Linked DNA regions of Ovis aries. The main gene of each other region encodes a partner of the protein of the gene in region 2 in a complex. Links are inferred from orthologs where the notes say so. Each region holds a gene or a part of one and is shown on either strand. Other genes may lie near its edges.

Evidence for each region. The genes of interacting proteins can lie anywhere in the genome.
Region 1: the proteins of AMHR2 (region 2) and AMH are in contact, whole or in part, in a crystal structure (PDB 7L0J), measured with the Homo sapiens proteins. The link is inferred for Ovis aries from reciprocal best matches to the Homo sapiens genes AMHR2 and AMH. Residues at the interface, in NP_065434.1 of Homo sapiens: Gly31, Val32, Arg33, Gly34, Ser35, Thr36, Thr38, Leu39, Phe62, Ile64, Glu75, Met76, Arg80, Asp81, Ser82, Glu84, Pro85, Ser95, Arg97, Ala98, Pro100, Ser101, Leu106, Thr108; in NP_000470.3 of Homo sapiens: Leu471, Arg472, Glu474, Val477, Leu478, Ile479, Pro480, Glu481, Thr482, Tyr483, Gln484, Lys534, Leu535, Ile537, Leu539, Glu542, Arg543, Ile544, Ser545, Ala546.

The regions. Positions count from the first base shown.
Region 1 is NC_056058.1:19,191,509-19,195,634, reverse strand, and holds the start of AMH (muellerian-inhibiting factor precursor), read right to left. Parts: upstream 2,805-4,126; 5' UTR 2,795-2,804; coding exon 2,341-2,794; intron 1,699-2,340; coding exon 1,556-1,698; intron 1,334-1,555; coding exon 1,225-1,333; intron 1,118-1,224; coding exon 955-1,117; intron 871-954; coding exon 12-870; 3' UTR 1-11. Other genes in the region: SF3A2 (splicing factor 3A subunit 2), read right to left, coding at 3,585-4,126. UniProt on the Homo sapiens protein: Plays an important role in several reproductive functions. Induces Muellerian duct regression during male fetal sexual differentiation. Also plays a role in Leydig cell differentiation and function.
Region 2 is NC_056056.1:133,077,842-133,080,938, forward strand, and holds part of AMHR2 (anti-Muellerian hormone type-2 receptor), read right to left. Parts: intron 2,900-3,097; coding exon 2,785-2,899; intron 2,642-2,784; coding exon 2,469-2,641; intron 2,318-2,468; coding exon 2,170-2,317; intron 1,994-2,169; coding exon 1,857-1,993; intron 427-1,856; coding exon 217-426; 3' UTR 1-216. UniProt on the Homo sapiens protein: On ligand binding, forms a receptor complex consisting of two type II and two type I transmembrane serine/threonine kinases.

The DNA of each region.
Region 1 (4,126 bases), on a different chromosome or scaffold from region 2:
ACAGCGGGAGGTCACCGGCAGCCGCACTCGGTGGCCACCATGTTCGGGACGTGGTGCGCACTGATGCGCTCCTCGGACAGGCTGATGAGGAGCTTGCCTGTGTAGGCTGTGGGCACACAGCAGGGCGGGCGCGCCAGGGCGGCGCCGCGGGCCTGCATCTTCAGCAGCAGCACCACGTGGTTGCCGTAGCGTGGGTTGCGGTCCGACTGAGGCCAGCCGCAGGCGCCCTGGCAGTTGTTGGCCTGGTATGTCTCGGGGATGAGCACCGAGCGCTCGGCCCGCAGGTCTACGCTCAGCTCACGCAGAGCGCACGGCCCGTCTGCAGCCGCGGCTCCGGTGCTGCGCTGCGCCCGTGCAGAGCCGCTCCGCTCCCGCCCGCGCCACTCAGCGCGCAGGCCCTGCAGCGCTTTGAGTAGCAGCAGAGCGCGCAGCGGGCCGCCGGGGCCATCTGGGTTTCCAGGGCACAGTGCCAGCAGGCGCGCCAGCAGCGGAGGGGCGGCAGGAGGCAGCCCAGGGAGGGCGCGCAGCTCGGCAGCTGCTGCCTGAAGCTCGGCAGCCACACGGCGCGCTAGTCCCGCGGCCCACAGAGGGGACTTGGGACCTTGCGGCGTTGCGGGGACCCCGGTGGTGGCTGCTGTTGGCGGCAGCAGCAGCAGCAGCGGCTCCTCGCCGTCCAGCAGGCGCTCCAGGGCCGTGGGGTCCGACAGGTTGACCTGGCCCTGCGGGAAACCAGCCAGTGCGCCGGGGTCCAAGGCCAGTCGCGGTGGCGAGCTCCGGGCCGGGGGTCCCCGCAGCGCGCGCACCAGGCGCGTGAGAGTCTCCAGGAAGGGATCGGCGCTGGGCGGTGCCTCCTCTGGCTCTGGGGAAGGCCTGGACAGCAGAGTCGGGGGTCGGGAGGGCGCAAGGCTGCGGCGTCCACACTCCCCGCATCCCCAGGTCCGAGCCTGCGCGCACCTGGGCTGTGGGAAGGGCACCAAGTCCAGCCGACCGTGCGCGGGCATCGGTGCCGACGACCGCGCCGACAGCAAGAGCAACAGGGCCGGGGTTTTTCGTGTGAAGCAGCGGGAGTCTGCACCGAACAGCAGCGCCTGCAGCTGGGCGGTGCTCAGGGGCTCACCTGAGAGGGAAGGCGCGTGTGCCGTGCGGTTCAGCGGCCGGGGATGGGCTGGGGTCTGCGGGTCGAGGGCAGCCACCCAGTAGGGTCCCTGTCGAGGCAAGGCCTACCATTTCCACGGCGCTGCAGGGTCAGGGCTAGCCCAGGCCGGCGCCAGGCCCCCTCCGGAGGGTCCACGACCAAGGCCAGGAAGTCCGAGTCTGCGGTCAGGCAGAGGCTCTGCAGGCAGACACGGGGAGTTCAGCCAGGTTGGGGGAAGGGCATGGATGCCAACCCTGCTCTGCCTGTTGCCCTTAACATCCCCTCAAGGTCTAGCCTGGACACTTGTGGCCTTTCTGTGAGGCCAAGTTAAAAACAACACAAACACAAACCCATAATCCCTCCCTTGCTCTGTGGGGGGGCCTGGGGGGCCTGAGAGAGCCACATTCCACTCCCTGGTACCTGGGTGCCTGGTAGCCCAGCCCCGGTGACAGTGACCTCCAGGCCAGGCCCTGGGTACAACACCAGCAGCGCCAGCTCTGGGGGGCTGGCTCCTCCAGGTGGAGGCTCCTGGAACCTCAGCAAGGGTGTCGGCTCCCACGTCACTGCGGCCAGGACAAAGGAAGAAGGGAGGCACCTGAGCCACCGAAGCCTGAGCACCTCCCCTAAGCCTGTCCCCTCCATAGGAGACCCCACGCCAACCAAAGCCTGGGGGAACCTGGTGAGAGGTTTGACGCTGGCTCCTGGCTTCTCTGGGACAGGAGTGGCCTAGAAGTGATGGATAGGGTGGGCAGTGGGGCTGCCACCTGTGTTTCCCCAGCCCTTGGGGGCTCTAGGCCTGGAGAGCTCCTGGGGGAGTCCTGGTAGTGGGTCTGAGGACAGCGATCCCTTGGAACAGGAACCTCTTGCTACCCAGTGTGGAGGGAGAGGCACTCCTCTGCTGGACCATCAGGCTGCACTGACCTGCCTCCCTCCTCCATCCCCCACTGTGTAGCTCCCAGGTAGGTGAACAAGGTGTTAGCCCCCACATCCCCCTCTGCCAGGCACTGCATGGGGAGAGGGGTGGCTGGGAGCTGGAGAACTTCTGGCCCCAAACAAGCAAAGATACAGTGACCCACCTCTCTGGCCATTAGCCTCCACTTCCTGAGACTGGGGAGGGGTCTGGGCTGGGGGCTCTGCAGTCCTCTGCTCTTGGGAGGAGGGCACTAGAGCCTGGCCTCCCACCCCAGCCCCGACACAACACATACCTTCCTCCAGGTGCAGGACCACCAGCCACCGACCCCCGGGCTCCCCCAGCCATGCCTGCAGCCGCTGCAGGTGGGGCAGCACAGGCTGCCCGTCACCAGCGGGGCACACAGCGAAGGTGGTCAAGTCACTCAGGCCCCAGTGGGTGCGCCGCACAGCCTCCAGGAAGGCCTGCTCATAGCCGCTCAGGGACCCCACCACCCGCAGGGGGGCCCTGCTCCCGTTGCCACTCCCATGCAGGGTCACCAGGCACAGGGGGTCCTGAGGGCTGCCTGGCAGCCAGAGACTGGGGAGTGGCCAGTCCCAGCCTTGCTGAAAGATGAGTGTCCCGCTGCCTGTGGCCTGCTCCCTGGGCGAGGCTGAGGTATTGGAGACCTCTTCCCTGGGGGTCCCTGGCCTCAGCAGAGCCCCCATGGCCGACAGCACCAGGGCCAGAGAGAGAGATGGACCGGGCATCCTGGGAGCTTCCAGGGGCTGCGCTGCCCTACTTTATAAGGGGAGCAGGGCTGTTTGTGGTACAGGGCAGTCCCTATCTCCTCCTGGGACATGACCTTGGAGACTGGTGCCTGCTGCGAGCCTGGGAGGCCTGTGGCCTTCTCAAAGCCCCCTCTGTTCCAACCTGCCTGTCTATCTCCTGAGCAGTGATACAGTGTGTGTGGCCTGTGACCCATTTGTCAGACTGTCCTTGACAAATCTTTCCCCTCCCCAGAGCAGGAATGTGAGCAGGAGTGCATGCCCCAGACAGTCAGACTATCAACAACCTGGGGGTGTTGGAGGGCAAGGTGTGGAGCCCCTGCCCCAGGAGGATTCAGGTGCCAGCCCCAAGGGGGATGACGCTTCACATCGGGTAGGCAGGTCTGTCCCCCAGTGACCCCACGTGCTCGCTCACCCTACCTCTGAGGCCCACAGAGACCCCCAAGGAGAGTGAGCAGCCTTCTTCGCTCTGCTGTCTTCCCAGAGAACCACCCCACATTCTGCTGGCCCACAGGGTCTGTCCTTGCAGAGACAGCAGGGGCCACCCCCTGTGGTCCAGGTGGGACCCTGACACCCCCTATGGTGGTGGAAAGCAGTCACGTGTGTTCACCCACAGCAAGCTGACCGCCCACAGGTTAACACAGCAGTCCAGTTCAGGGTCAGCAGACTCTTTAATGAGCTCTGAGGACACCCAGCCCAGTACAAAAGAACTCTACTCTGAGGGCGAAACCCAGGAAAACCAAACCAGACTTGCTAGGATGGGGGTGGCTTTTCAGTTGGTGGGGGGAGGGGGAGGAATGTTCCCAGGGCCTTCGGAGGGCAGTGGAGGCCTCAGCATCGGGGGCATGGGCGTTGGGGGGTGCACCCCAGGATTTGAGGGGTGCACCCCAGGTGGCTGAGGATGGACCCCAGGAGCCGGAGGATGGACCCCAGGAGGAGGGGGGTGGACCCCAGGAGGCTGGGGGTGGATCCCAGGGGCTGGTGGGTGGACCCCAGGAGCTGGTGGGTGGACCCCTGGAGCCTGGGGGTGAACGGCAGGAGTCGGGTGCACCCCCGGAGCCTGGGGGTGAACTGCAGGAGCTGGTGGGTGCACCACTGGTGCCTGGGGGTGAACACCAGCAGATGGGGGAGGATGGACCCCTGGGGCTGGAGGGTGGACTCCCGGAGCAGGAGGGTGGACTCCTGGGGCTGGAGGGTGGACCCCTGGAGCAGGGGGGTGGACCCCAGATGCTGGTGGGTGAACCACTGGTGCCGGGGGGTGGACCCCAGGAGCTGGGGGATGGACCCCAGGAGCAGGGGGATGCACCCCAGAGG
Region 2 (3,097 bases):
GTGACTTAGCAGCAGCAGCAGGATATAGTGGAGGACAGAGGAGCCTGGCATGCTGCAGTCCATGGAGTCACAGAGAGTCAGACACAATCTAGCGACTGAACAACAACAAACACAGGTTCTACATAAATGCATATTTACACAGACGTCCAGGTAGGTTGAGGATTTCTGGAAAAAGGGCCTTGCTGAACCATGAAGTGGCAGGCACTCAGCTGCAGCCTACTGAGGAGAATGGCAGACGGGAGGAGTGGAGAGATGGTCTTCCAGGCAGCAAGGTGAGCAGTCCTGCGCACAGCCCTCAGGGAAGGGGTGGGCCTCCTCAGGAGAGGCCAGGGCAGCCAGGCGCTTCTGTACACACTCAGCTGTTAGCCGCGCTTCAGGGTCTGCATCCCAGCAGTCCTCCAGGAGCTCTCTCAGGCCTCCAGGGTCCTGGGAAGAATGACCGGGAGGCAGGCTTTACTTCAGGACCCTGAGTGGCCCCAGCTTTAAAAGGCATCCTTGATGGCCCAGGTCTCAACACTCCTCTACTGTTCCTTCCTGGAGCCTCCTTCCTCCCCTTCACCCAAATCACGCCTTTCATTTCCTCTCTTATGAGAAAAGTTCTCTCCAAAGAGTCCACCTTTTCCTTTGAGATGCTAGTTCAGACTCATTAATGGTTTAACTGTTCTTTTCTCTCAGGCAACCAGGGTCTTCTGCAAACAATACCCGGGCCTTTGTTACCAAACCCAACAGACAGTTGTGCAGTGGAAACCAGATCAGGTAGCAGGGGAAGGGGCCTCCTGTAAGGAAACTTTTCCGAAGAAACCCTGAAATTTCACTATTCAGGCACTGCTTTAACCCTTATCCCTAGATCTGGCTTTAATTGGGTCATGACAGAAACACAGAGGTGTAAGACAGAATGAGGAAATTATTGGATTAAATATTGGGCTTCAGGGGACTTCCCTGGTGGTCCGGTAGTTCAGAATCCAAATTGCTATCCAAGGGACATAGGCTTGATTCCTGGTGGGGGAATTAAGATGCTACATGCCTGAGAATCTAAGCGCAGAAGCCACATCTACTAAGCCTGTGTGCTCCGGAGCCCAAGAAACACAGCTACAGAGTCTGTGTGCCCCAGTGAAAGACCTCGCATGACGCAACAAAGATCCCATGTGCCACAACTACGACCCGATGCAGCCAAATAAATAATAGATAATTTTTTAATCTATTCTTCCCTGGTGGTACAGTGGTTAAGAATCCACCTGCCAATGCAAGGGACACAGGTTTGATCCCTGCTCCAGGAAGACTCCACATGGCATGGAGCAAATAAGCCCATGCATCACAACTAGGGAAATCCGCGGGCCCAGAGCCTGTGTTCCTCAACAAGAGAAGCCACCGCCACGAGCAGCCCACGCACCACAACTAGAGAAAGCCCAAGCGCCCCAGTGAAGACCCAGCATACACAAAAATAACAAATAAATAAACACTTTTTAAAAAATGTTGAAAAACAAATATTGGGCTCCAGTGTACAAGGAAAGCAGCCATCTTGGGGGCAGAGCTCAGACCAGAAGCAAAGCCAAGGAGGGCTTCCTGGAGGAAGGAACTGAGGAACAAGGCAAACTGATGATGGAGAGAAGAGGGATGGACAGGGCAAACCTGAGCAAGAGGAAGGTGCGTGTCTCAGGAACGGGGTATGTGAGGCTTACAGTGGAAAGGGAAGAACTGGAGTATAGAGCAAGTTTGCCCAGCTCCAGCTGACCATGAGCCAGGAGCGGTGGGAGCTGAGAAGGGATAGGAACAGGTAGGCTGTCCTGATGCATAGGTCCCTGAAGCCCGTGTCGAGACTGTCCAGGTCCCAAGCCCACCAGCCCACACCCTCTTACTGTGGTAAAGCAGCACCAGGTAGATGGAACGTGAGGGCGCCTCCTCTCCTCCACTGCCAAGGTCCACAGCTCACAGGTGGTGGGGGCGCTGCCCAGTTCTGCCTCATAGGCCAGTTGGAAGGGTGGTGGTCTGCTGTCTGGGAAAAGGCACATGAAGCTAGGTGTCAGGTAGCCCAAGGGGTGCCTTCTTGTAGAAAGATCAAGAGGGAGAAGGGTAGAGCTTCCTGGGTCAGGAGGTAGGTGAGTATAGAATGGGCAGGTGGGGCACGGGGGTGGGGGGCGGGGAGGGGGCCTCTGTCACACCCAGCCTCACCAGGTCGCAAATCTGGGCAGCGACTCATAATCTCCCACAAGAGCAGAGCCAGAGAGTAGACATCAGCTCGCCGCAGGGCCGTGCCCCAGTCCTGAAGGTCCAGAGTCTTGTCCAAGAGCTCCGGTGCCATGTACCGCTGGGTGCCAGCCTGGACGGCAGGGATCATCTCCATGGCAACCCTCACCGCAACACTGGTCCGCGCAAGCCCCCGTACACTATCGGTGCTGCTGCACTGTCGCTGCTTCGTCATCAGCAGCACCACCACCATCCTGGGTCTCACCCTCCTCCAGAGTACTGACCTCCATGATGGCAGCCGGGCCTCGGGGTTGACTAGGGGCCCAGGTTGGGGGCTGGGCGAGGCCAGGGAGCACCAAGGCGAGGCCCAGATCTCCAATGGCACATGACCCATCGTCCCGAATGAGCACATTCTGGCTGCTCAGATCTCGGTGGGCGATACCTGGTTTATACTGGCCTGTGGGAGAAGCCAGGCTGAAGGGGCACAGATCTTCTTCCTTTGTCTTTTTGACCCAATCCTTCCCCTCCAAGCTAAAGGGAAAATCAGAAACAGCAGCATGGCTCCTGACTCCCATGGCTTCCCGCCCCCAGCTCACCCACCATCCTGCCAACGTTCCTCATGGAGAAACGCCAGGCCCTGCGCCAGGGACAGTGCCATCCGCAGGGAACTGCCCCAGTCACTGGTGTGCTGGGTCAAGTAGTGGCACAGGGAGCCCTGAGGAGAAGCAGAGAGAAGAGGGGGACACACAAAGCTGGAGGAGGCTGATTCACCCCAGGGAGCAGAGATCAATTGTCAGACTTCCCTCCGCGTCTCCCAGCAGACTTACGCACGACACACCCAGAGCAAGGCAGTAGGCAATGCAGGAGTGAGGGTGTACACCACTCAGATTGACAGGAAAAAATAGTAGCTCTA